Linked DNA regions of Arabidopsis thaliana. The protein of the gene in region 1 interacts with the protein of each later gene in a pairwise test. Each region holds a gene or a part of one and is shown on either strand. Other genes may lie near its edges.

What was found. Proteins that work in one complex are often made in the same cells at the same time.
Region 2: the proteins of AT5G60142 (region 1) and IAA31 interact in binary tests that used the Arabidopsis thaliana proteins (3 or more experiments, as listed by UniProt).
Region 3: the proteins of AT5G60142 (region 1) and IAA10 interact in binary tests that used the Arabidopsis thaliana proteins (3 or more experiments, as listed by UniProt).

Annotation. Positions count from the first base shown.
Region 1 is NC_003076.8:24,213,236-24,221,987, forward strand, and holds AT5G60142 (AP2/B3-like transcriptional factor family protein), read right to left. Parts: upstream 4,515-8,752; 5' UTR 4,357-4,514; coding exon 4,344-4,356; intron 4,230-4,343; coding exon 4,159-4,229; intron 4,118-4,158; exon of another isoform or gene 4,079-4,117; coding exon 3,460-4,078; coding exon of another isoform or gene 3,434-3,459; exon of another isoform or gene 3,374-3,433; coding exon 3,282-3,373; intron 3,191-3,281; coding exon 2,945-3,190; 3' UTR 2,712-2,944; downstream 1-2,711. Other genes in the region: AT5G60140 (AP2/B3-like transcriptional factor family protein), read right to left, coding at 842-1,087, 1,223-1,879, 1,951-2,021, 2,104-2,116; AT5G60150 (uncharacterized protein), read left to right, coding at 4,976-5,150, 5,328-5,525, 5,623-5,876, 5,997-6,079, 6,183-6,346, 6,459-6,592, 6,720-6,983, 7,069-8,752.
Region 2 is NC_003074.8:6,018,930-6,025,459, reverse strand, and holds IAA31 (indole-3-acetic acid inducible 31), read left to right. Parts: upstream 1-4,312; 5' UTR 4,313-4,419; coding exon 4,420-4,544; intron 4,545-4,641; coding exon 4,642-4,853; intron 4,854-4,951; coding exon 4,952-5,036; intron 5,037-5,124; coding exon 5,125-5,179; 3' UTR 5,180-5,487; downstream 5,488-6,530. Other genes in the region: RBL14 (RHOMBOID-like protein 14), read right to left, coding at 1-75, 299-514; HYH (HY5-homolog), read right to left, coding at 875-1,073, 1,166-1,352, 1,426-1,489; BSH (transcription regulatory protein SNF5, putative (BSH)), read left to right, coding at 5,869-5,918, 6,014-6,108, 6,218-6,312. UniProt on the Arabidopsis thaliana protein: Aux/IAA proteins are short-lived transcriptional factors that function as repressors of early auxin response genes at low auxin concentrations.
Region 3 is NC_003070.9:1,054,970-1,062,252, reverse strand, and holds IAA10 (indoleacetic acid-induced protein 10), read right to left. Parts: upstream 2,784-7,283; 5' UTR 2,524-2,783; coding exon of another isoform or gene 2,445-2,523; coding exon 2,173-2,444; intron 1,971-2,172; coding exon of another isoform or gene 1,930-1,970; coding exon 1,619-1,929; intron 1,522-1,618; coding exon 1,389-1,521; intron 1,297-1,388; coding exon 1,227-1,296; 3' UTR 1,044-1,226; downstream 1-1,043. Other genes in the region: SDD1 (Subtilase family protein), read left to right, coding at 1-796; AT1G04090 (vacuolar sorting-associated protein (DUF946)), read right to left, coding at 3,006-4,618, 4,923-5,028; PRP39 (Tetratricopeptide repeat (TPR)-like superfamily protein), read right to left, coding at 5,703-5,819, 5,965-6,066, 6,150-6,455, 6,545-6,775, 6,963-7,079, 7,165-7,283. UniProt on the Arabidopsis thaliana protein: Aux/IAA proteins are short-lived transcriptional factors that function as repressors of early auxin response genes at low auxin concentrations.

The sequences.
Region 1 (8,752 bases):
AAAGCAGAGACTTGAACGCTTATTGTTTCAAATGGAAAAAAAAAACTTTACTAACTACATTTACTTCAATGTAGAGCTGAGATTTGGAACCCTAATTTTAAGATGAGTACAGTTCTTCAAACCCCAGATTTCTCAGATAGTACGGTTTCCGTTGAGTGGCTTTCGACTTTTGTAGCAAAAACTTGAAAACAGAGGTTTCTCTCTGTTTCTATACTTGTTGCTTCAAATGGTAAAACCGTAAAAGACTACTTAGAACGACTTCGTTTTAAAAGAAGATTCGTGAAAGAACCAAGGCCCGCGAAAACCAATGGACCTAAATTATTTTGGTCCCATTCGAGATGGGGTTTTATAGTAGTCAGTGGAAGGCCTAGTGATTTCCTCCAAATCTATTTGCAACATATTGTTTGGTTCTCTTTCTTATTTTGATTTGTAAGTTTGTATACAAAAGTGGTGCCAACAACAAAACACAAACCCAAACCCATTTGTCATTTTACTATAATGTCTTTTGAGATTACTCCAACACAAAGGACGACCTTTGTCCGAACAATGTAAGTACTATTTGTATGAATCCGTTGGAGGACGTTGCCCTACTTACTGCAGGCAACAAAGCAACAAGATTTGTCTAGACGGCATAACTCAAGAGTTTGTTGCAAGAGAAAACAGAGAGATTTAATGAGACATGAACTCTATATAGAAAGTCTTAATTCAACATGAAAACATCTCTCACGCCCAAATCCTTAGTTATAAACCAAATCCTAAGATAGACATTTTACCATTAGTAACATAATAAAAACCACTCACAGCTAAGACACATAAGACTCACAAAAGCTTAGTGAAGAGATCATCCGCTGATAATCTTGACCTTGATGGTGTGAACCAGATTACCTCCAGTCCTCTTAAGCTCGCATATCATTTTGTCAGTCATCTTCATTTTGTTCCTTCTGATGAAACTACCAAATCCCTTGACAAAGATGCAACCATTCTTTTGAATCTTGATTGCTTTCTCCAATGCTCCCATTTCGTCCACGACTGTTATACGCTCCGGGAAGGTTAAGTCATAGTCCCTTATGACATGAGCCGGTATGTGCTGCATCAAGAAACAAACATCATAAAACAGATTGAGATATTCCTTATTAATTTATTCACATAAGAATCCATAACCAAAGATGTTAAATGGAGAGTGTGTAAAGATCTTAAATATTCAGGTTTTTTTTTCTCTTACCAATTGGCTCTTCTTCTTCGGATTGAGTGTCATAGTAAAGTACGGGTTCTCGTGATCATCCAGATACCGCCTTTCGTCATCCTCATCCTCAAGATCATCTTCATCCTCAAGACCATCATCATCCTTAGCATCATAACCATCCTCAGCCTCATCATCATCTTCATCCTCAAGACCATCACTATCCTTAGCATCATAACCATCCTCAGCCTCAACATCTACTTCATCCTCAAGACCATCATCATCCTCAGCAACATTATCATCCTCAACAGAATAATCATTATCAGAATCGTCAGAATCATCACTATTAAGAACGATAACATCATCACTAGCCTGAGATTCTTCTTCACAATCAGATCCCACTTTGATGATGTCCTTGCTTTGCTCTGAACTTCTCTTAAGCCTCTTACACGTAGTCTCATGGTCAAAGATAGAGAAATTAAAAAAATGAGAGCCATCAAACTCAAATGACAAGAGATCTCCACCGTTCAGGTTTTCGTCCCTTACAATCTTCTTCCAACCACTAACCATAACAAATCTCTCAACCTCACCACCACATTTCTTAAACCCTAATTTCCAAATGTTTCCAGAAATGCTTCTAACAGTTACAGTTTTAGGCAAAGACTTTGGTAAACAGCTGTTGAAAGAAATGGGTAGTACCTGAAAAGTTTCTACAAATTTCAAGCAACCAGAAAACAAAAAACAGAGTGAAGAGAAGTGTGTTTTATTACCAGATCATCACCGGATTCACTAGGAAGGTACGGTTTAAAGAACTTTGAAGTAAAACCATTAGAGTAATTTCCTGTTCCAAAATAAGAAAAGGAAGAACATCAATGTACAGAGCACATTACAAGGGAAGAATCAGGAACAGAGAAGTGAAAAACCTCTTGTGTTCATTGTCGTCAACTTCTTGTGCTCTTGGAAATACTCTGAACCCTAATTTTGATCGGAAATAAAAAGGTGAACAAAGTTTCTCCAGATCCAAGTTTTTCCAGATGTGATTTGATCTAAAGGTGTTGGCCTTTTGTAGCAAAAACTTGCAAAAACAGAGGGTTCTCTCTGTTTCGATGCTTTTTCCTTCAAATGGAAAACAAACCATTAATAGTACTCTTCTTATTCAAAAATAATTCGTTAAGCGGACCAAGGTATCGCTAAGGCCCAAACAAAAAACAAGAAATGGGCCTTAAGTTTGGTTCAATCTATATCGTGTAAATGACATTATCGTCCTTAAACAAAAGAACCACAGTAAAGAGTCGAGAAGGGTATATTAGAGAAAGAAGGACTTGTGACATCTCAATTCTTGAACAAGAAACTTGAAACTTGAAAGAAGAATGAGATAGTGTTAAGTGGCAGAGTTCCAAGTATCTTAGTATTATTCTCCTCCTATGCCAATGCTTTTCTTATGATCACATAGAGAGTAATAACATTCTTTTTACATGAACTCGCAGGTTTTAAACAGCCCTGATGTGTGAACCATTCATAATGATTTCTCCCAAAATCTATAGCTCTAGTATACATTATTATTGTAAGACTGTGTTGATCGTCTTTTGCACTTCATGTTTCAGACAAACAAACAAAATCAAGAAGTGTATAGAAAGCATCAACATCGATTATGTTCCGAGAAAACCAATAAGATTCATAAAACCAAGTACTCTACTCATATAAAAACTCTCAAGTAAAAATAGATAATGTCTTGGAGTTAACGCATAAAGCCTTATCAAGAGATCATCCTCTTATAACATGGACCTTGATTTCTCGAACAAGACCATCCATCTCCTTTTCTAACTCACAAATCACCTTGTCATTCAACTTCACATTATTCCTTCTGATTATACTACGGAATCCCTTGATTGTTTGACCCTTAACTTTCCTCTTCAATTTACCAAAGTTTTTCTCGAGTGGATCAATCAAATTGATGAACTCAGGGAAGTGTAAGCCATACTTCGTTATGACCTTAGTTGGTATGCGCAGCTGCATTACAAAGATAACATCATAAAACAGAAGTGGTACATTATTTTAATGAAAATGCAAAAAGACATGAGACTTTCTTCACATTTCTTACCATATTATATTTTATTTGCCGATGCTGGTTCACTGTAAAGAAAGGGTTCATGTGATTATCCAGATATTGTCTGTCATGCTCTCCAGAAGAACCTATCAAAATTTATACGCAAGAAAATAAAAAGACAGTGATGCTCTCAGTCTCAGTTAACTTCACAAGACAAAAGTTTCTATTATACCTTTCTTTTTTTTCTCTGTTTTGACTCCTCTCCATCTTTCTTTCTCAACATCAGCATGATCATCGTCACCATAATCTTGATCATCATCATCATCATCATCATCAATAACTATGATATCTTCACTAGATGTATCTTCCTCAACATAATCTTGAACATCATTAATATCATCATTATCAGCATCATCAAGAGCTGTAATATCTTCACTAGATGTATCTTCCTCATTATAATCTTGAACATCACTAATATCATCATCATCAAGAACTATGAAATTTTCACTAGATTTAACTTCTTCCCCATAATCTTGATCATCATTAAAACCATCATCATTGTCATCAAGAACCGTGATTTGCACTGAACTTCTAAGCCTTTTACACGTTGCACGACCATAGATACAGAAATTGAAACACCAAGAGCCATCAAACTCAAATTCTAAGAACTCTCCACCTTTCAAATCTTCGTCCTTGACTATCTTCTTCCACCCATTAACCATAACAAATCTCTCACTATCACCACAAAACTTCCTAAACGCCACTTTCCAGATGTTTCCATAAATGCTTCTAACAATTACATTTTTAGGCAACGACTTTGGTAAAAAGCTGTTGAAAGAGATGGGTAATTCCTGAAGAGGAAGGATCTAAAAGTTTCAATAAACTAAAAATCTACATATAACCAAAAACAGAGAGAGAAGTGTATTTTTACCAAATCATCTCCGGAATCATCAGGTAAGTACACTTTGAAGAACTTTGGAAGACAATCATCCACAGAAATTCCTGTTCCAAAGCAAGAAAAAAATCAGAACATAGGATAGGTTATGTGATTGGAGAATCAAGAACAAACAATAGCATAAAGATCTTAACATAAAAACAAGAGTCTAAAGAAGAAACCTCTGTTCATCATCTTCACCTCTTTGAAACCCTAACTCTTTTAGTGAAAGTGAAGGTGAAAATGGTTCTTGAAAATAGAAAAGTAAAAGAGCTTTGTTAATAGATCTCCGATCTTTTGGTTTGCTTTAGAGATTTTGCCTTTTGTAGCATAACACAGAGACTGTATTGTCTTCTAGGCTTATTGCTACAAATGGAAAAATAAAACATGTGCTAACTACTTTTACTTCAATGCTCCATGAACCGAACCGATATGATTTTAATCAAACCGAAAAAATATTATCCTAACCAAACCAAACCAATAAAGGGTGAACGAGAATTTAAAATTCAAATAAATGGGCTTTAAAGTCCGGCCCAATCGATTTGCTTTAAATGACAATAATAACCTGAGATTATAGAGAACGTTGGTCCGATCTTCTTTCAATTTCAAGTTTTTCAACCTCTTCCCGCTTACGAGGCCGGGATATTCTATCAACAGTCGTCTCTTCCATCGGCCGAACAATTTCCGATTTACCGACTAGGATTTTCGCCTACAACTTCCGAAGAGATTTTCTCAGTGTAAGTTTGAAAAAACCTAGCTATAGGATTCCGGATTTCCTAATCGTCAGATCTTGGGCTCGAAAGAGAAGCTAGAAATGGATAAGGATCTCTTAGATATCTCTGGAGAAGACGACGAAGATAATTGGCTTCTGAAGAATACGCCGAAGAAAACTAATTCGAGCCGAGGAAAGAGTTATTTGAAATGCTCACCTCTCCAAATCCCTAGATCTAGTCGTATCGTTCCTACTCGGCCTCCTTTTTCCCCAATTGGTAAGCGCTTCAATTTCTCGTTCTCGATCCGAGCTTCGTTCTGATAATTTCTCTCTCCCTTTGTTAGAGTGTTTAAGCATCTGAATTAGCATTGTTTAAATCTTAATTTGATAAAATAGCAAATTAGTATAAATGTTGTGTATTCTGCGGATATATGAAGGTTAATACTTTTTGCAGGAAGAGTAACAGGCACCAGCAACAACAGGGAGCAGCCATGCGCTTCAGTTGATACAGATAGTGTAGGAAAGGAGAATGCTAAAGTTGAATTGCCCAAATTGAGTGTGGAGCGACAACAGATGAAGAAGAAGAAAAAGAATGCAGGGTTTAATTTGCGCAAGAGTTTAGCATGGGATAGAGCTTTTTCAACGGAAGAAGGTGACTTTTTTTTACCAATTTCCTGTTAGTAGTAAAGGTCAAAGATTTGGTCTATGTTACTAAGAATCTTAAGATGTGTGATATGGTCATGAACCAGGTGTTTTGGATTCATCTGAGTTATCTAAAATAACTGGAACTGCTTGCCATCTTGGTGGAGATCGGTTAGCTGCCATTCAGGAAGAGTACAGAGAGTCAATGTCAGCTTCCAAATGTAATGTTTCACCAGGACTACAAGCACTTGAAGAAAACTTATTTAACGACTTGCCTGTGAATAGTAAAAACAGAGAGAAGAAGCTTGTCAGTGGCATAATGCCCAAGTACGGATCACCATCTAAATCCCAATCTTCCTCGGTGAGTTTACTGGACCTAAATATTGTGGAGCTAATGAGGGTCATAAGTCGTTTCTTTCCTTGCGTAAATATATATATTTTGAGGCGCAGTCTATCTAAATGTCGAATATCTGCATTATAGGCCCAGAAAAAAGTTATCTCAGCTCAGGATTTAAGGAGTGGTTCCAAGCGCAGTGGCTGTCCCCGGCCTCCTCCTTCATCTTCATATCCTTTTCTTACTTTGAGTACTGAGTGTATAGGCAATCTTGATATCCTTTGCAGGTCTTGTTTGTGTTCTTTTTGCTTGTTTACCTTAACCATCTTGCACCCTGAAAAGACCTGCAAATGTGCATACAACAACATCACGTTGCAGGGAGCTGAGCATATCTAAAGTTCCTACTACCAAATCTGACCCAGTTACAGTTGGAAACAACATGAAAAGGACTACTCAAAGTCCAATCAAAGCGAAAAACAGTCAACCTACTCAATTAAGTATGTTCACTTCAGTTAGCAAATAAAAACTATTCATCTCATATCCTTTTTAGTTCTGTTACTTTTCATCCTGTTTATATATTGCTACATGGTTTTTTGTCTGATATGACAGAGAATTCTCAGAGGAGCTTAGGATCTGAAAGCTTCTCTAAAAACACTTCAAGCACCAAGAGTAAAACAAAATCCAGTCTGGCGAGTAAATCTTCAATTCCTAAGCCCTCTCTTAAGCAAGCTAGAAGAAATGTGGTAAAGCTATGCTGCCCTCTGCAAACCAATATAGCAAATAGTTTATGCACTAAAAATTTGCAGCAAATGCTTTGTTTCCAATATTCTTCCTATTAAGAGTAACCTATTGCATTTTCTTGAACTCTAGATCAGCAAATCTTCAGAAATTCCGACAGTATCATACTCACAGCATTCTGTTGTTGCAAAATCCAACGTTGGCCCTATGACTGCATCAGATGTGGCTATGCTTGGTCATGCATCAGTTATTCCAGACTCTAATGTAATTACTCTGGGCACCTCGTTAGCTCAAAGTTCTTGCAATAAAGCTGGAAGCACGCAGTCCGCAGTTTCACGACTGGGAAAGCCATCAGGCTTAAGAGCGCCAAAACCTTCAATTGGCTATTTCAGTCAGGTATATTATTGAAATATACTGAATTCTATCGTGAGATAACTATGGTTTTGTTCTTGTAACTCTAACATACTTCATATTTTTGCAGTCTGACTCTCAACCGTCGCAGAGTGCGGGAGACAAACACAGTCAGCTTCCCAGATCTGATGTTTGTTCAGCCGCTCATTTTTCTTTGATCCCTACCTTCAAGAAACCCCAAGTTGCTGAAAAGTTTCCCGGTGTCAACTGCAAGGCAGCAACTGGAATTTTTGGCAGTTCAGATTCAGCTGCAAGATTCTCTGCTCAATCTATATGTCTCAAACCTTCACAGGAAAAGTTGAAAGTGGACTTGAATAGCACACAGGAAGTAGAATCCAAAGTGTTGCGTTGTCCATTGAGTTTTCAGATAAATGAAAATCCGCAGCACCAATGTGTCATTCAAGGTGATACTGGAAATTTAGTTCTGGATGATGTAACTTATTGCACATCTGAGAAGATTTCTACTGAACAATGTCAAGAATTCCAGGGTAACAGTGCGCTGCCGCCCTCAGGCTGCAAAAATAATGTACAAGATGGTAGTAATATGTCTGACGATAATAGAGATGAGAAAAGGAAGTCTTGCCTCTCAGTAGAAGAATACTGTGCTTTACCAATGAAAGATTCTATGGATTCTACGATGCAGGGTCCTCCTTGCGATGAGTTGACACTGTTTGACAACTACTCACAGTTGAAAGTCAGCAATCCGGGGGAAGAAGATATGTGTACTACCAATGATTTTAGTGGAGATTCTGATACATTGGATGTACCTGGACAACCTCTAAATGAATGCCTGCACCCTGGAAACGAAGACGAGATTAGTCCTTGCCTTTCTGAAGAAAAAGATGCGTTAGTTGTTTATCATTCTACTGAATATGTAGCAAAGCAGCCTGAGGTTTTGGATTCCTTCACTGCAAAATCATCTTTCTTTGGGGATTTGGCTTCAATAAAGGGTGATGCAGACAATCCATCTTCTTCAGAAAATCAGTTAGGTAATACTGAATTTGTTTCTGTACCTTTGGAGCCTTCTGAAGCACTAGATTGTGTTCAATCACTATGCAATCATCTTGAGGTAAATGCGGTAGCGAACTCTGTTTTGTGTGATCATAACATGGTGTGTGATGGTCAATCTGTATTAGAAACGGAGAAGAGAATTGAAATAAGCGAAAGCACAGAGAAAAACTATGAGACTGATTTCATTGGTCCATTTTCCGAATGCAAATACTGGTTTAGAGAATCTGAAGAGCAACATTTGTCGAACCAATTAGTCCTTGAGGTGAAAGAGGGTGGTCATGAGATAGATGTCTTGATCAGAAACGAAGAAGCTGATGGGCCTGATATGCAGATAGAATGCTTTACTGGTTCGTCTGATGCTGACAACATGGAACAAGTGAAATTACTAAGGCCTTCCTCCGTTGAAGTTACGATGGAGATTAAACCTCTGGAATCATCTCATGAACCCTTCTCTGAGAAATCAACTTCTGAAAAACAGAAGCAATACAATTGTTCCAGCAGTGAAAATACATCTGATGTAAATGATGGTTGTGTAATGAAACAGGCTGATCAACTTGGAACATTAGTTGGTTGTTCTCCAGAAAAAGATGCATCTGTTGCGGTTTTCTCTTATTCAAATGAGGAGCTTGGAGATAACTCTGAGCTGGAAGACATGGATTTGGTTACAGACTCAGATTGTTCAGATGAGGAGCCTGAGGATAAATTGGAGCGGACAGAGGTGGATGTGGTTACTGATCCAGAGC
Region 2 (6,530 bases), on another chromosome or scaffold:
CATCATGTTATAGACTAAGTGAGGCTCGTTAACATGGTAGAACGCTGATAGAAATAAACGCTTCAAGTCCTTATGCTGTTCAACAAATACACATCAAGATTAAAAAAAAAAACTTTAACAGAGAATAGAATTAATCAATCAAGAATGATCTAATTAGATATCGAAGAACAAAATCCCTAATTCTCCAGATATTGGTACAAATTTCCCAGGAAACTCAAATTCGAATTTCAGATCGAAATCGGTCAAATTGCAATCAATTTCTCTTGGCGAATGAAGGAATTTATTAAGATTGGTTTACCTTGAAGATGAGGTGAGGATTGAACCAGACCTCACTGATGTGAGGAATAACGGGATCGATAAACGCCGGCCTGAGATAAACGAGAGTGTTCGCGGCCAGGAGACTCGCCGTCACCGGTGGTTTCCACGGTAGTCTATAGTACTCCGCGACGGCGCTTAGAGCCAGCAACGGCAACATTCCGCCTCCACTTCTTCTCCCTTCACCAAAATTCTCCATTTCTTCGTAATTATTCTTTTCTTCTGATCTCTCTGAATCACTTACAAGTAATTAAAATCTCATCTCTTTCACAATATTTATATAGCAGCAGCTTGGTCTCTACGAAAACAAATTCTCCAGAGACTTCTTCGTTTCACTCGCATAAGAACATGTGGGACCCACCACGGCATTTTAGAACTCTAGTTTTTATACCTAATCTCTTCTTGCCTTTTTTCGTTTTTTTTTACTTTATTTTGCAAATCTGAATGACAATGATGCTCAAAGTGAATGTTATTCGAACAAAAAGTGTATACAAACCAAAACCAAAAAAGAAAGAAAGATAATCATACAACACTGAACAATGGATTAAAGGGTAAATATTTAGTGATTGTCATCAGTTTTAGGCCTTGTGTTAATAAGCATTTTACGAAGCATTGTGTTCTCGTTCGTCAAAGTAGAAATCTTCTCTTCGAGCTGGTCATTGTTGTTCTGTAACTCATTAGCTCTTGATTCCAAATCACTCACATACACTTTCTTCCTCTCTCTTGCTTGTTGCGCTGATACTCTGTTCCTCAATAATCTGTAATTTTTCACCACAGTTTCTTTTTTACCATTTCAATTCCACAAATCGAATGCTAAGAAAAAAAAGTTTTTTTACTCATCATTGATTACCTCTTGAGGCTTCTATATTCTTTATCAACAGGGTTTCTTCCACGGCGGCGTTTAGCTGTAGAGACTCCATTTTGAGTCTGGTCAAGCTCCGGATTGTTGACTCCATCGTCGGCGCTGCTGCTTAGAACACATGTTGATCCAGCTGCTTCCATGTCAGGAACCATCAACAACTCCTCATCACTTTCCTCTGAGAATTATACAAACCAATTTCTCTAAACCAAATTAAGTTAAATATTAGATAAGTTTCTTTCAACACCTACCAGTTTTGTGCTTCTTGTGGGAAGAAGACGAACTCGAGTTCCCATTGGGTCGTTGGAGAGACATCAATATCTTTTTGTCTTTTGAGATTTTGCTAAAGACGAGAATAGAGAGGTAAGAGGTTGAAGAGAATATCAAACCAAAGGAAATTGCATCTTTTCTTTCTTCTTTGGGGCCACTCAAAGTCTGCAACTCGTTTCAAACAAAAAAAAAGAGAAAAGTATTGGTTGGCTTATAAAAGAACACGTAGGTTTATGTAAGACCACAAATGCAACTGTTTCAATCCAATGGTGTGTATCTGTGTTTTCTTTTCCACTATATCCCGTTGAACTTATTAATTGATTTATTGTTCTGTTTTGCTTTTAAAGTCTTTGTTCATGATTTCTACGGAAAACAACCTTTAGTGAGTATTCACAGAGCGTGTGGGTTTAGGACAATAATTACTGTCTAGAACCATACAAACGTACTTGCAGACAAAGTCAGAGGCACAACTATGTGTGTGTGTATCTATTTGCATGGCGTAATAGGCATGCATAAACTCATCATGTGGTCATATATCTCGTTTTCTATTTTTTGGTACACAAATAACTCTTTTGTATAAAGACAGCTAACTAATGTTTTGAATTTTTAAATGTTATCTCTTAAAATTAAATTCTACCAATTGTAAATTCAGTCAATCATTCCGAAGCATTTTTTCATGCTTTGTGATTCCGCCATATATTTTCCCATGTTCTTTTTTACGTTTTTCATCATAATTTTAAAGTTTTACGATTTTTTGTTGTTATCAATGAAAATGGACCAAGTAAACTTCTACCGTAATGGTTGCATATTAGATAGTGGACTTATGCGCGCGCGCGGAAACAAAACTTGGCCGGTTGAATCGTCGTCTGCCTGGCATCTAACAGTTTTTTCGAACATTGTCATAATCAATATATTGAGGGATGTTAATCATGAAGTCGTATGGAATGGACGCGGGAAATCACTCATAAACAATGTGAACATTTTATAAGGTTATAAAGAAGAACAAGTTTCATCCTTCTTTTGTATATTTCGACTCATACATATCTTTCTATTCAGGAATAAGTATAAAACATAATATAACATGTGGCATATCGACCGACCAATACATCTTTCCCAACCCATGATCAACCTTCTGATTGTGTTTTAATTTATTCGTCATGAAATGGATCAGAATACTCATGATGAGTTTGTGTATCACTCAAGGGACCCCTTGTCTTAAAATCAACTAAAATCATTTGATGTAACTTTTATACGAAGTACTATCCAAATAATTAATTTTCATAAGCAGCGGACATTCATTTTGTTTGTATGACTATATGATTTTATTATTTGAAGCTGTATGCAAACGTGGAGATATGATTGCATCTTTGTCTATGCATGAACATGCCACGTTAATTTAGGAGTACATATCATGATATTGATCTCTCTTGCTATAACTTTTTGGCACAATACTATTGCATGCCTCTCTATATTACTTCAACAAAACGTTTAAATTTACCATGGTTAGAACTTAGAAGTAATCGAGCTGCAAACCATGGTGATCATATTTTTTCTCGTTCGCATGCTCGGTCTTAATATATTGAGAGTTATGGCCAAAATTTGAATACCATTTTAAGAAACTTCAGAAAATCAGGAGTTTGATTATTATCTTTGGTTCTTACTTACTTCAACGAAAACTAATGACAAAACTCTTTTAAGTCGAGGTATGCGAGTAATAACTCCTTGGACATATTTTTTTGATAAAAGTTTAATTGATTATAGACTTATAGTAGTCTTAATTATTATTATAAGTATAAAGAGGAGTAAACATTCATCATTAGACTACTAGACATTATAAAGTTATATATATCGAAATTCTAACAAGAAGGATCCCTAGAGACCAGACATGCATGTCCAAAGACAGATCGTATAATAGCTAATAGGAGTCTTATCGATCCAACATCCAAGGTAGGCTTTATTACAAAGTAACTATTAGAGTGCACTTCCCATGATGATTCTAGAATCTAATATTATTATCAATACAGCCAATGAGCATTATGTGATGTAACAATTTATGTCTACTTTATATTTTGAAGTTATCATAAATCAACGAATTCTATTTTGATTTTCAAAAAAGAGTAAAAGATTTGGGCTTCTAAGAGAGACAATCCACAAAGCTAAAGAGACATTAACAGGAAACGTATAGTTAAAGAAAAGAACACTGTCTGCTCCACAAAAACAATATACACAAAACTCTTCAAGTCTACCTTATTTTTATTGGTTCTGCAATTTTCAATGGTCTGTTACATTAATGTGTCATAAGAGACAATTGAGTTTTCTTATCAACAGAAGGGTCTAAAAAATTGATCCCCCAAGTTCATAGTCTATAGACTCAGTTTTTTTCTTTCAAATATTGATGTGTAAGAAAGTGAAAGTGATGTGATGCTCTGTTTCTGTTTACGGCTAGACAATAAAGCCTTTTTTGGCCCTTATCTCTCCTAATTAAAGAATCTGAGCAGTTGAGAAATTAAAATCAAAGCCTTAACAGATTAACTCCAACATCATTTAGACACACTTTCCTTGGATACCACCTTTTTACGGAAACTTCGAATCTTACATGTAAACAAATCTCAAAACCATAATTTCACATTTTTACTACTAACTAACTCCAAAGATCTAAACCCATGAATTAAGTATCTAATCGGGTAATTATTACAGTGGTTTTCAGAAATCAATGTGTGTTCATATTTAGAAGGTTGAAAGTTCATAGTTAAATGTGGGGAACCTTATGTTCCTATTATTTATTTATATTAAATTTCAAAGTCGATTAAATCAATTTTTAAATTCAAAATCTATGCAATAGAATCACCTACTAGTCCTTTTTTGTTTAACTAGACAGAGAGAAATAGAAATAGAGAGAGAGAGACATGAAGAGCACTCTCAATAGAGAAGAGAAGGAAGCATGAAGCTAGCTCTGCAGCTTCAAGGTCTCATTAATGGAGGTCTCTAACTCTTGTTCTTCATTTTCTTCATCCTCTGTCGACAGTACTAAACCTTCTCCTTCTGAATCTTCTGTTAATCTCTCCCTTAGTCTCACATTTCCTTCTACTTCTCCACAAAGGTCTTATTCACATCACTTCTCTGTTTTTTCCTATGTTCTGTTTTTGCTCTGTTTTCTTTTGTTCACATTTGTGTTTTAAATCTTTATTTTTTTGTAGAGAAGCAAGACAAGATTGGCCACCGATAAAGTCTAGATTAAGAGATACACTAAAGGGTCGTCGTCTTCTTCGTCGTGGTGATGACACTTCTCTCTTTGTTAAGGTTTATATGGAAGGTGTTCCCATTGGAAGAAAACTCGACCTTTGCGTATTCTCAGGCTACGAGAGTCTATTAGAAAATCTCTCTCACATGTTCGATACTTCAATCATCTGTAAGTAATTAATGAACAACACATAATTCCGTAAAAACAACATTCAACTAAATTCAAACAGTTTGAAGTATATCCATGCATTGTCTTGGCTATAACAGGCGGTAATCGAGATCGAAAACATCATGTTTTGACATATGAAGACAAGGATGGAGATTGGATGATGGTCGGAGATATTCCATGGGAGTATGAATCTTATATCTTGATCTTACATTGGTATAATTTCCTCGGTTATAGCTATTCTCTAATTTTTGAAATCGATGTTTTTGTTTAGTATGTTTCTTGAAACCGTGAGAAGACTAAAGATCACGAGACCGGAGAGGTATTAAAACTTGGATCGGTCAAGGCTGTGATTGCGCAGTTACGAGACGTGTAAGATTTAGGCATTGATGAAGAGACTTGAGGCGGGACGGAGCTATTGCTGCATATTGCAACAAAGGCCTTGAAGAAGTTGGAGAATTGATTGATGCATATATTTATTTATATGACACCTTTGAGTGTGTTTTTTCTTATAAATAAATCACAATATCCAAGACTTCTCTTTTTTGTTCTGAATAATAATAATGCAAAGATTTTTTATATGTTTGTAATCGTGTGTTTCTTCGAATGTGTTACATGACTAGGAAAAAAGTACACGAACGTTGTTATGGGGAGCACGAACATGGAATAGAGGAACGTTGTCAGGAAGAGAATGATTCTCTTTGATCTGCCGGCAGCCGTCTCGTTGGTTGTCACCAATGTACAATTTTAATGTTGAGCCCATTTAAAGCCCACTAAATGACTAACAAGCTCGTTTAAAGCCCAAATGCTGCAATTGATCGTAGGATCGGATCCAGATAATTCGTCCCAAAATGGGAAAATTCCAAATTAGAGGTGAAATGTGTAAAGACATTAGAATATAAGGGTGATTCTGAAATAAATTAAGCTAGCGCCGGAAAAAGATCGAGAAATTGAAATTTCCCACACTCTCTCGCTGACTCTCTTCGAAACTCAATTTGTGAAATTTGGGGGTTTAAGGATGAAGGGTTTAGTGTCTACTGGTTGGAAAGGTCCCGTCAAGTTCAGGATGTAAGTTTCGTCGCTTCCTCTACTTTGTTTGTTTTGAAATCGAAATCGAGTTCATGTGTTTTTGTTTTTTCTGATGAATCGATTTGTAATCGGAGCTATAGGCCCACTGCTGAAAACTTGGTACCTATTCGATTGGACATTCAATTCGAAGGTCAGCGTTACAAAGATGCTTTCACTTGGAACCCTTCAGGTTTCTCTCTTAAAAACCCTACCTTTTTTTTTGTTTTCCATCTTCTCGCATCTTATTACAGTAGCAGTGTATGTGATTCACTGATTCTTGTTTTTGGTTTTGGATACAGACCCGGATAATGAAGTCGTTATCTTTGCCAAAAGAACTGTTAAAGACTTGAAACTTCCCTATGCATTTGTCACTCAGATTGCCCAATCTATTCAGGTTGTTTCTAAACTAGTTCACACTGACCTATCTTTAGTTTTTCTTCTGCTCTGATTTTGTTGTTAGTTCTTTTGCTTGTCATAGAGATGAGCTTAAATTTAAGGTCACCTATTAGTCTTAAACCAATCACACTTTCGACTTATTGTTTTTAACTCTTTAGGTTTTTTTACTCGAGAAGAGGCCTGTTTATAGCATTGTACTTTGGGATGTATATCTGT
Region 3 (7,283 bases), on another chromosome or scaffold:
ACTAAAACCGGATATGATTGCTCCGGGAGTCAATATCATTGCGGCTTGGCCTCAAAATCTAGGACCAACCGGACTTCCTTATGATTCAAGAAGAGTTAACTTCACTGTAATGTCAGGAACTTCAATGTCTTGTCCACATGTTAGCGGAATCACTGCTCTTATCCGGTCTGCATACCCGAACTGGTCTCCAGCTGCAATCAAATCCGCATTGATGACAACAGCGGATTTGTACGATCGTCAAGGGAAAGCGATAAAGGATGGTAACAAACCAGCCGGTGTGTTTGCGATTGGAGCAGGGCATGTGAATCCGCAAAAGGCGATAAACCCGGGATTGGTTTACAACATTCAACCAGTGGATTACATAACTTACCTCTGCACTCTTGGATTCACAAGATCAGATATTTTAGCAATCACTCATAAGAACGTGAGCTGCAATGGAATATTGCGGAAAAACCCGGGTTTTAGTCTCAATTACCCGTCGATAGCCGTGATTTTCAAACGTGGCAAGACTACGGAGATGATCACAAGGCGTGTCACTAACGTTGGGAGTCCTAACTCGATATACTCAGTGAATGTCAAGGCTCCAGAGGGGATCAAAGTTATTGTCAATCCTAAGAGACTTGTGTTCAAACACGTGGATCAGACGCTGAGCTATAGAGTATGGTTTGTATTGAAGAAGAAAAACAGAGGAGGGAAGGTGGCTAGCTTTGCACAAGGGCAGTTGACTTGGGTCAACTCTCATAATCTGATGCAGCGAGTTAGAAGTCCAATCTCTGTAACCTTGAAGACTAACTGAGCCAATGAAGGAAAACGTTTTTCATTCTGTTTCAAGACTGTGTTAGGTTTATTAGGTTTTTATGCTAAGAAAACCTCGTGAAGCTGATTGATTGTTGTTATTGTACGCACAAGAGCTGTATTTCATTTTCCAGGGAATGAAACTACTGGTGATTCTATCATATTACTGTAGCTTGATTTCATCACTAAACCCTAATCCAGATGCATGCCTTTGTTGTTATAGTGGTATATTGGATCAGGCACCAATAGAGTGAAAAACCCTAAATATACAAAGATCTTTAAAGACAAGGTTAAGCTGTTGTTTGATATTCACAAACGACCACAAGACATATGTACACTCATGTATAAACATATGCACATGTATATATGTGAATGTGATATATGAGTTACAGACCAAAGAGATGTAAACTGTTTTTGCTATATAGGACTCTCTACTTACCTACTCCAGCTCCAATTGATGTCTTCATGATTCTCAGTCTTGTCACAGACCCGAGGAACATCCTGAGAAGATGAAAAGATCGTTTTCATTGAAATGGATGTGCCACATTACAAATACAGATGATGAATGGGAAGTTATAAGGGTAGTCACTTACTGCCAAGGAACATCTCCTACAAGCATCCAATCTCCGTCTTTATCTTGATATGTTATGATATATTCCGATGAGCCATCCAGTAATTTCGAAGTACATGTTTCCTTAATTGTCTTGTATCCTTGTGTGTTGGATCCTACAAATCGATCAATCAAAACCAGTCAATTTCAAGAGACACAGAATTTGAAAAACAGAATCACATGGAATCTCATGAAACAGAATTAGTAACTGACTTGTTACAGGAGAAGGAATCTGGAAAAACATTAGATCCAAAGTTTTCTCTAAGGCTGCATAAGAATCCAGAGCATTGAGATCAACCTTCCTTCCAATTATAACTCCGTCCATTGTCACCTTCACAAGCATAGAAGTCCTGGACGATTTGATAAAGCAAGCATCATCGTTCTTAGCAGCAACCACTACACTTTTTGTAGTCTCCTTTTGAATGCCAGAACTCAAGCCGCCTTCCGTAGCTAAAGACTTTGCTTGATTGACCAAACTGTTGATTCTGTAAGTCCGTAGAGGCGGCCAACCTACAGCAACTTGTCTGCTCCATTACCAAAAGATATTAAATCAAAAGACGAACAAGTATAAACCAATATGATTCAAAAGTTTAACTAAACATTTCAGGGAACACTCTATTTGATTCAATCCTGTGATTCATTCATTCTCAAAGTTTAAGGTCTAAAAGCTCTATCCTCTAAGTTGCTTTGATTCTGTAACAATAAGCAATCTGAGACCAATCATTCATATAGGTTATAATATAAAGTCTCGAAGATGAATTTTTTACCTGGTTGCGTTTGAGGCGGCAGCCGGAGAAGAATCAGCAGAGCGTTTGGTCCCACTTTCCCTGGTCAGAGAAGAAGACGAGGAAGACAAAGACGATCGAACCTTCCGACGACCAATGCTAAGACCCAAAGCTAGGTCGAGCTCTGTCTCTGACACTGACTCGTCGGGGCAAGATGAATCCTCCGACGAATGTGCGGCGTTTTCGTCTTCTTCAGCTGGTAGTCCGATCATCACCGACCCACTTGACGAACAAACTTCTTGCAAACCATTCATTATCCCAAATTGCCAAACGAATACACAAAGCAAGAACACTAAAACCCTTGATTCAAATCCAATTATCGATCAAGTTTGAAGAAACCCATTAACCAAGCAAACCAAAAAAAAGGTTTCAACTTTCAACACCTCTACGATTCTGAATTTCGAGACAGAAAAAAAAAAAAAACTTGAGGTCACGCACGGATCCACAGAACTGAAATTGAGAACTAAACGAGGTTTTAATCTTGATTCGAGGGCGACTTCGATTCTCGGATCAAAAACAAGGAATTTTTCTTAAAGAGAGAGAGAATGAAATTGGAGGAACGAAAAATCGGAAACGGTACACGAATGTGTGCGTTGCGTTTGGTGGAGGTTTGTTCGTCTATATAACTTTATTATTTTAATTAAATACATGATGGGACCCACTTGTATACACTTCTAACGACAAGTTTTACGTTAATCCTACGCTAATTGTGTAATTAATCTCTTGCGCAATCAAAGCTTCATCTTCCTTTACAAGTTACACAGTTAGGGCTCCGATGGTAATCTCACCACATCTGTTTCCCAACAGTGAGAATTTCAACATCTTTCATCGCCATACCAATTGTTCTTCTCCTTTGGTCCTGTAGGACCTTCCTCGCCGGATAATTCCACCGGAAGTTTTCTAAGCACTGTGGCAAGCGAAACCCTAACCGTCCTCGGAAATCGATTCACCAATCTCTCTATCTCCTCTCTTGAATCGTACACAACCTTTGGTCCCCATTCTCTCATGTACTGCAACCACGGCGGTTCTGCCAACACACTGTTTCCGCTGAGATACTCCGCTGCAATGATCTCGTACCGTGAGCTCGAATCTACCAAGAGTTCACTACGCGCAGTGTCATTTCTTATCCCAATCCCAAGCATTGTCGATCCCTGTAAGTAAGTCCCAGCCCTAGGAAAGCTTGCGTGACCATGTTTTGAAGAGTAAACAACGGCTTTGTTGCTTCCGGGAATGATTTCAAGGTCGTATGCTTCGATCCACTCGCCGCCACTGTGTTGAGACAAGTAGATTGAGTAAAGCTCACCAGAGAAATTGCTGATTCGGAGAGTGAAATGTTCCCAATCGCAGACGTGTTGGCCAATACTGATCAATGAGATATCGACGAGTCCTAGTTTTAAGGTTGCTGGTCCGTTAAATGGACAGAAGATCCAGAAGACAAGATCCGTGAACGTTCCTCCAAGAGCAGGCTTAATATGAATGTAAAGTTTCGAGCTTTCAAGGTTTCCTCGCTTGACGAAATCTCTTTGTTGATCATCACACGGCAAATCAATCCAAAACTGCTTGTCATTGCTTCCTCCTTGAGGCAAATTCGAACCATTTTCATCGATAGGTTCCTCGATTGGATTTCCCTTTTCGCAGAGAACTGCACCATTTTTGAAGAACCACGAAACAGAAGAAGGTAAGTAAGTTTCACCAGGATGGAAGACTAGTGTAGGACCATAGTGTTGAATCAAAGCTTGAATCTGATCAACATTTGGCATCGCATGTAAACTCAAATCTAGATTCTTTAGACAAGCAATACCGATACCAAGATCTTCTCTAGCAGCAACAAGCCGAGTTCTGCAGAAGAAAGTACCTGCAGAGACACCTTTGCCCCACATTCCTCGGTCTGAAGGCCGAGTTCTCCATATAAACAAAGGAACACCTAAAGATTCTGAAACAGCAGTGACAATGACATTGTGGGGTTCACATATATCAGTAAGATCAGCTCTAACACATCTAACTTCATTCAACTCAGGTTTCACGGAAGTCTTTGTAACCACAAAACCGATCGATCTATACCCTTCAGGAGGCTGCGGTAACCAGAAGTAACCGCATTCGCTCTTACTACTACATTCATTTTCTGCTGAATCATTTGAGCTCCAGACAAGAGTAAAATCAACAGGTTCCACTAATGCAGGTTTCTCTACCTGTTCTAATGAATCCACTAAATCTCTTGCCGCAAGTACATAACCTCTCAAAGGATGAGAATCAGACTGACAGTAGTGACCTAAGCAATGGAAGTCTTTAGGTAACAATCCCTTTGGTTTGTAAAATGAAATGTTCTTCTTCTTCTCTGTGGATCTGTATCTCCATATAAATTCAAAATCCGTGATTTTGATGACTTGTAATTTGCCGAGATTGATTGTTCCAGAGCCAAAGCCTTGACCTGATCAGTTTTCAAAGGATGGAGAGACAAAATCTAAGAGACCCAGCTGAAAAATTTCTTCAAAACGCAATCTTTAAAGAATCCTCTTTGAAAACGCAAAAGATTTGATTGACCATTGTTCGAATTAGATTAGTGGATATAGAGATCTGATTGAAAAACCCAATTGAATTTCACGAAATTGAGGAAAATCGAGAAATAAAAATCTCTCTTTTGTCAAGGCTTAAGAAACCTAAAATTGAAATAGAATTTTTGAATTCGAAATCGTTGACAAGAGAAGTCGGGAATTGAATGGAATTGGAGTTACCTGGAGGCCAATGGGGAATGGAAGAAGGAAGAGAGAAGGTTTCAGGGTCCTTTAATGGCGGTAAATCTATAAGATTGTTCCAGTGGAGACATTTGTAACCCAACATTCTTATCTGATCGCGCGAAACCCTAATTAATCAGGAAGGTGGAAATATGTCAGCTTTGTAGCATCTCATCACTTGTTTACCATTTCCTTCGGGCAATAAATTAAAGATTTTCCTCTTATTGAGAAAACCAAAAAGTCATGAAACTGTTTTATCCAATTCCACACATCAGCGAATACCTTGGGGAAAAAGTAACTTTGGTTTTTGAAGAAACGCCACAAGAAAATGATGATGAACACGAAAAACTTGGACAGTCGCACAAAATATGTTTTGTTTCAAAATATATCTAAAAATCCTCGCATATTTACCCCATAAGTTTTAAAATTGTATATTTTTCCCATTAAGTAAGAATTCGAGGTCTATTCTTTTCTTTTTGGAAAATTAAGTTCTCTAAGCGTCGTTACTTTTCCTTTTTTTCTTCTGAGGAGTTTAACTGAGTTAGATCATTGAAACAGTACTACCCGGCTCCATCAATTCAACTTCTCTGGTTACAATCTGTATCATAACCGGCGTAAATCCAAGAACTTTTACGAATCAAACAAACTGAAGAAAAGTAAATATCTATTGTCACTGATCGAGAAAAGAGAGACATGTAAACATCCAGACACTAAATTTGAGTAGATAGAAGCAAATGGTTATCAATTACACTACAAAAACGACCAGCAGCAGTAATAGGCTCAGTAGTACGTGTTGTAGTACGCTTGAGGAGCAACAGCAGCAGCCGGTTGCTGCACCGGTGCAGCCGCTGGTGCTGCTGCTGCAACTGGAGGTGCATAACTCTGCGTTGGGTATGTCTGCAAAAAATTTCACAAAGATAAGATCCAAGTTAGATGATCAAAGACTTATCTCCAAGAGTGATTCCCAATTCAAACTGGTGGCTAATCCCTGTAATCCTCCTAAATACTCCTGAGTTTAACACTAATTAAGAATTTTGGTTACCTGAGCAGGATACGCTCCATAAGCTGCGGCCTGTGGCACAGGTGTTGGTGCTTGTGGAGCGGTATAGCCAGCAGGATATCCCCCATATGCACCATAAGCAGCCTACAAAGGTATATTCGATACTATTATAAGAGTAAAAGTATAGAAGGAAGGAAATGGATATGGTTCTATCTTTGGTATCTTACCTGTTGACCGTAGGCAGGGTTCCATTGCTGTGGTTGAGCAGGAGCAGCTTGTGCTGGTGGCCAAGTCTGAGGCTGCGCAGCATAACCACCAGACCATTGAGCCTGAGCATTTGGATATGCATTGGATACTGGCTGAGCAGGTGGAGTGCCGTTGTAAGTTTTTGCCATTTTCGTCCTATCTGATGCGAGAAAATCATCTGCGCTACGCTTTTTCAGCTCCGACGTGCTCCGATGAGGATAAAACAGTTTAACATGTTGATCTTCCGCTTTTTTAATGGACTTCACATCTCCAAAAATACCCAGGAACTGCAAAGGCCATGCACATTTGGGTGTTAAAACCAATAATATAGATACATCATGTTCAAACAAGAATTGTCTTCTTTCTTTTCCATTACCTCTATATATATTAAGGATAGCTCTTCCCTCTCAGTGGAACTTGCAATGTTTTGGGCATCTGCATCTGGCTTTATAACTTTCTCTACAAGTGGCTCAAGGTAATCAATCTCTCTTGGTGGTGGCTGAATCGCCTCAAAATGAATCAGTGCTTCCATGAGAGGTTTTGACGGTTGTACATGGTCAAGTGCTTCGACAATAATCCTCCTAGCTTTCTCAGCATCCCTGGAGACCTGAAAGTAATATTAAGAAAAGTAAGAAGCCAAATCACTACATACTCCATCACGAAAACAAAAACAAAATGAGTTCAAAAATCAGTACTATAAAGTATCACTACATACTCCATCACGAAAACAAAACAAAACGAGTTCAAAAATCAGTACTATAAAGTCTTAGTAGTGTAGAGACCATGTGACGTACCAAGTATGAAAACCTTGAATACTGCGCATACAGCAGTGGCAGTATTGTGGAATGTTCTTTCCCCTTTTCAACAGCAATCACTTGCTCATACAAAGAGAAAGCATCATCCAGATTACCCTACAGATAAGATTAGGAGACATGTAAGGGAAACAACCAGTGATAATAATCTTATACTAGTTCTTTAATCACCATTGAAGCTTACTAGTCGGTATTCCATATTTGCATGCTTGATTACTGCTTCAAGAAGTCCAGGAGAAATTTCAGAGTGCACTAATTGGTATGCAGCTCTAGCACCAGCTATATCTCCATTCTGCTCTTTTA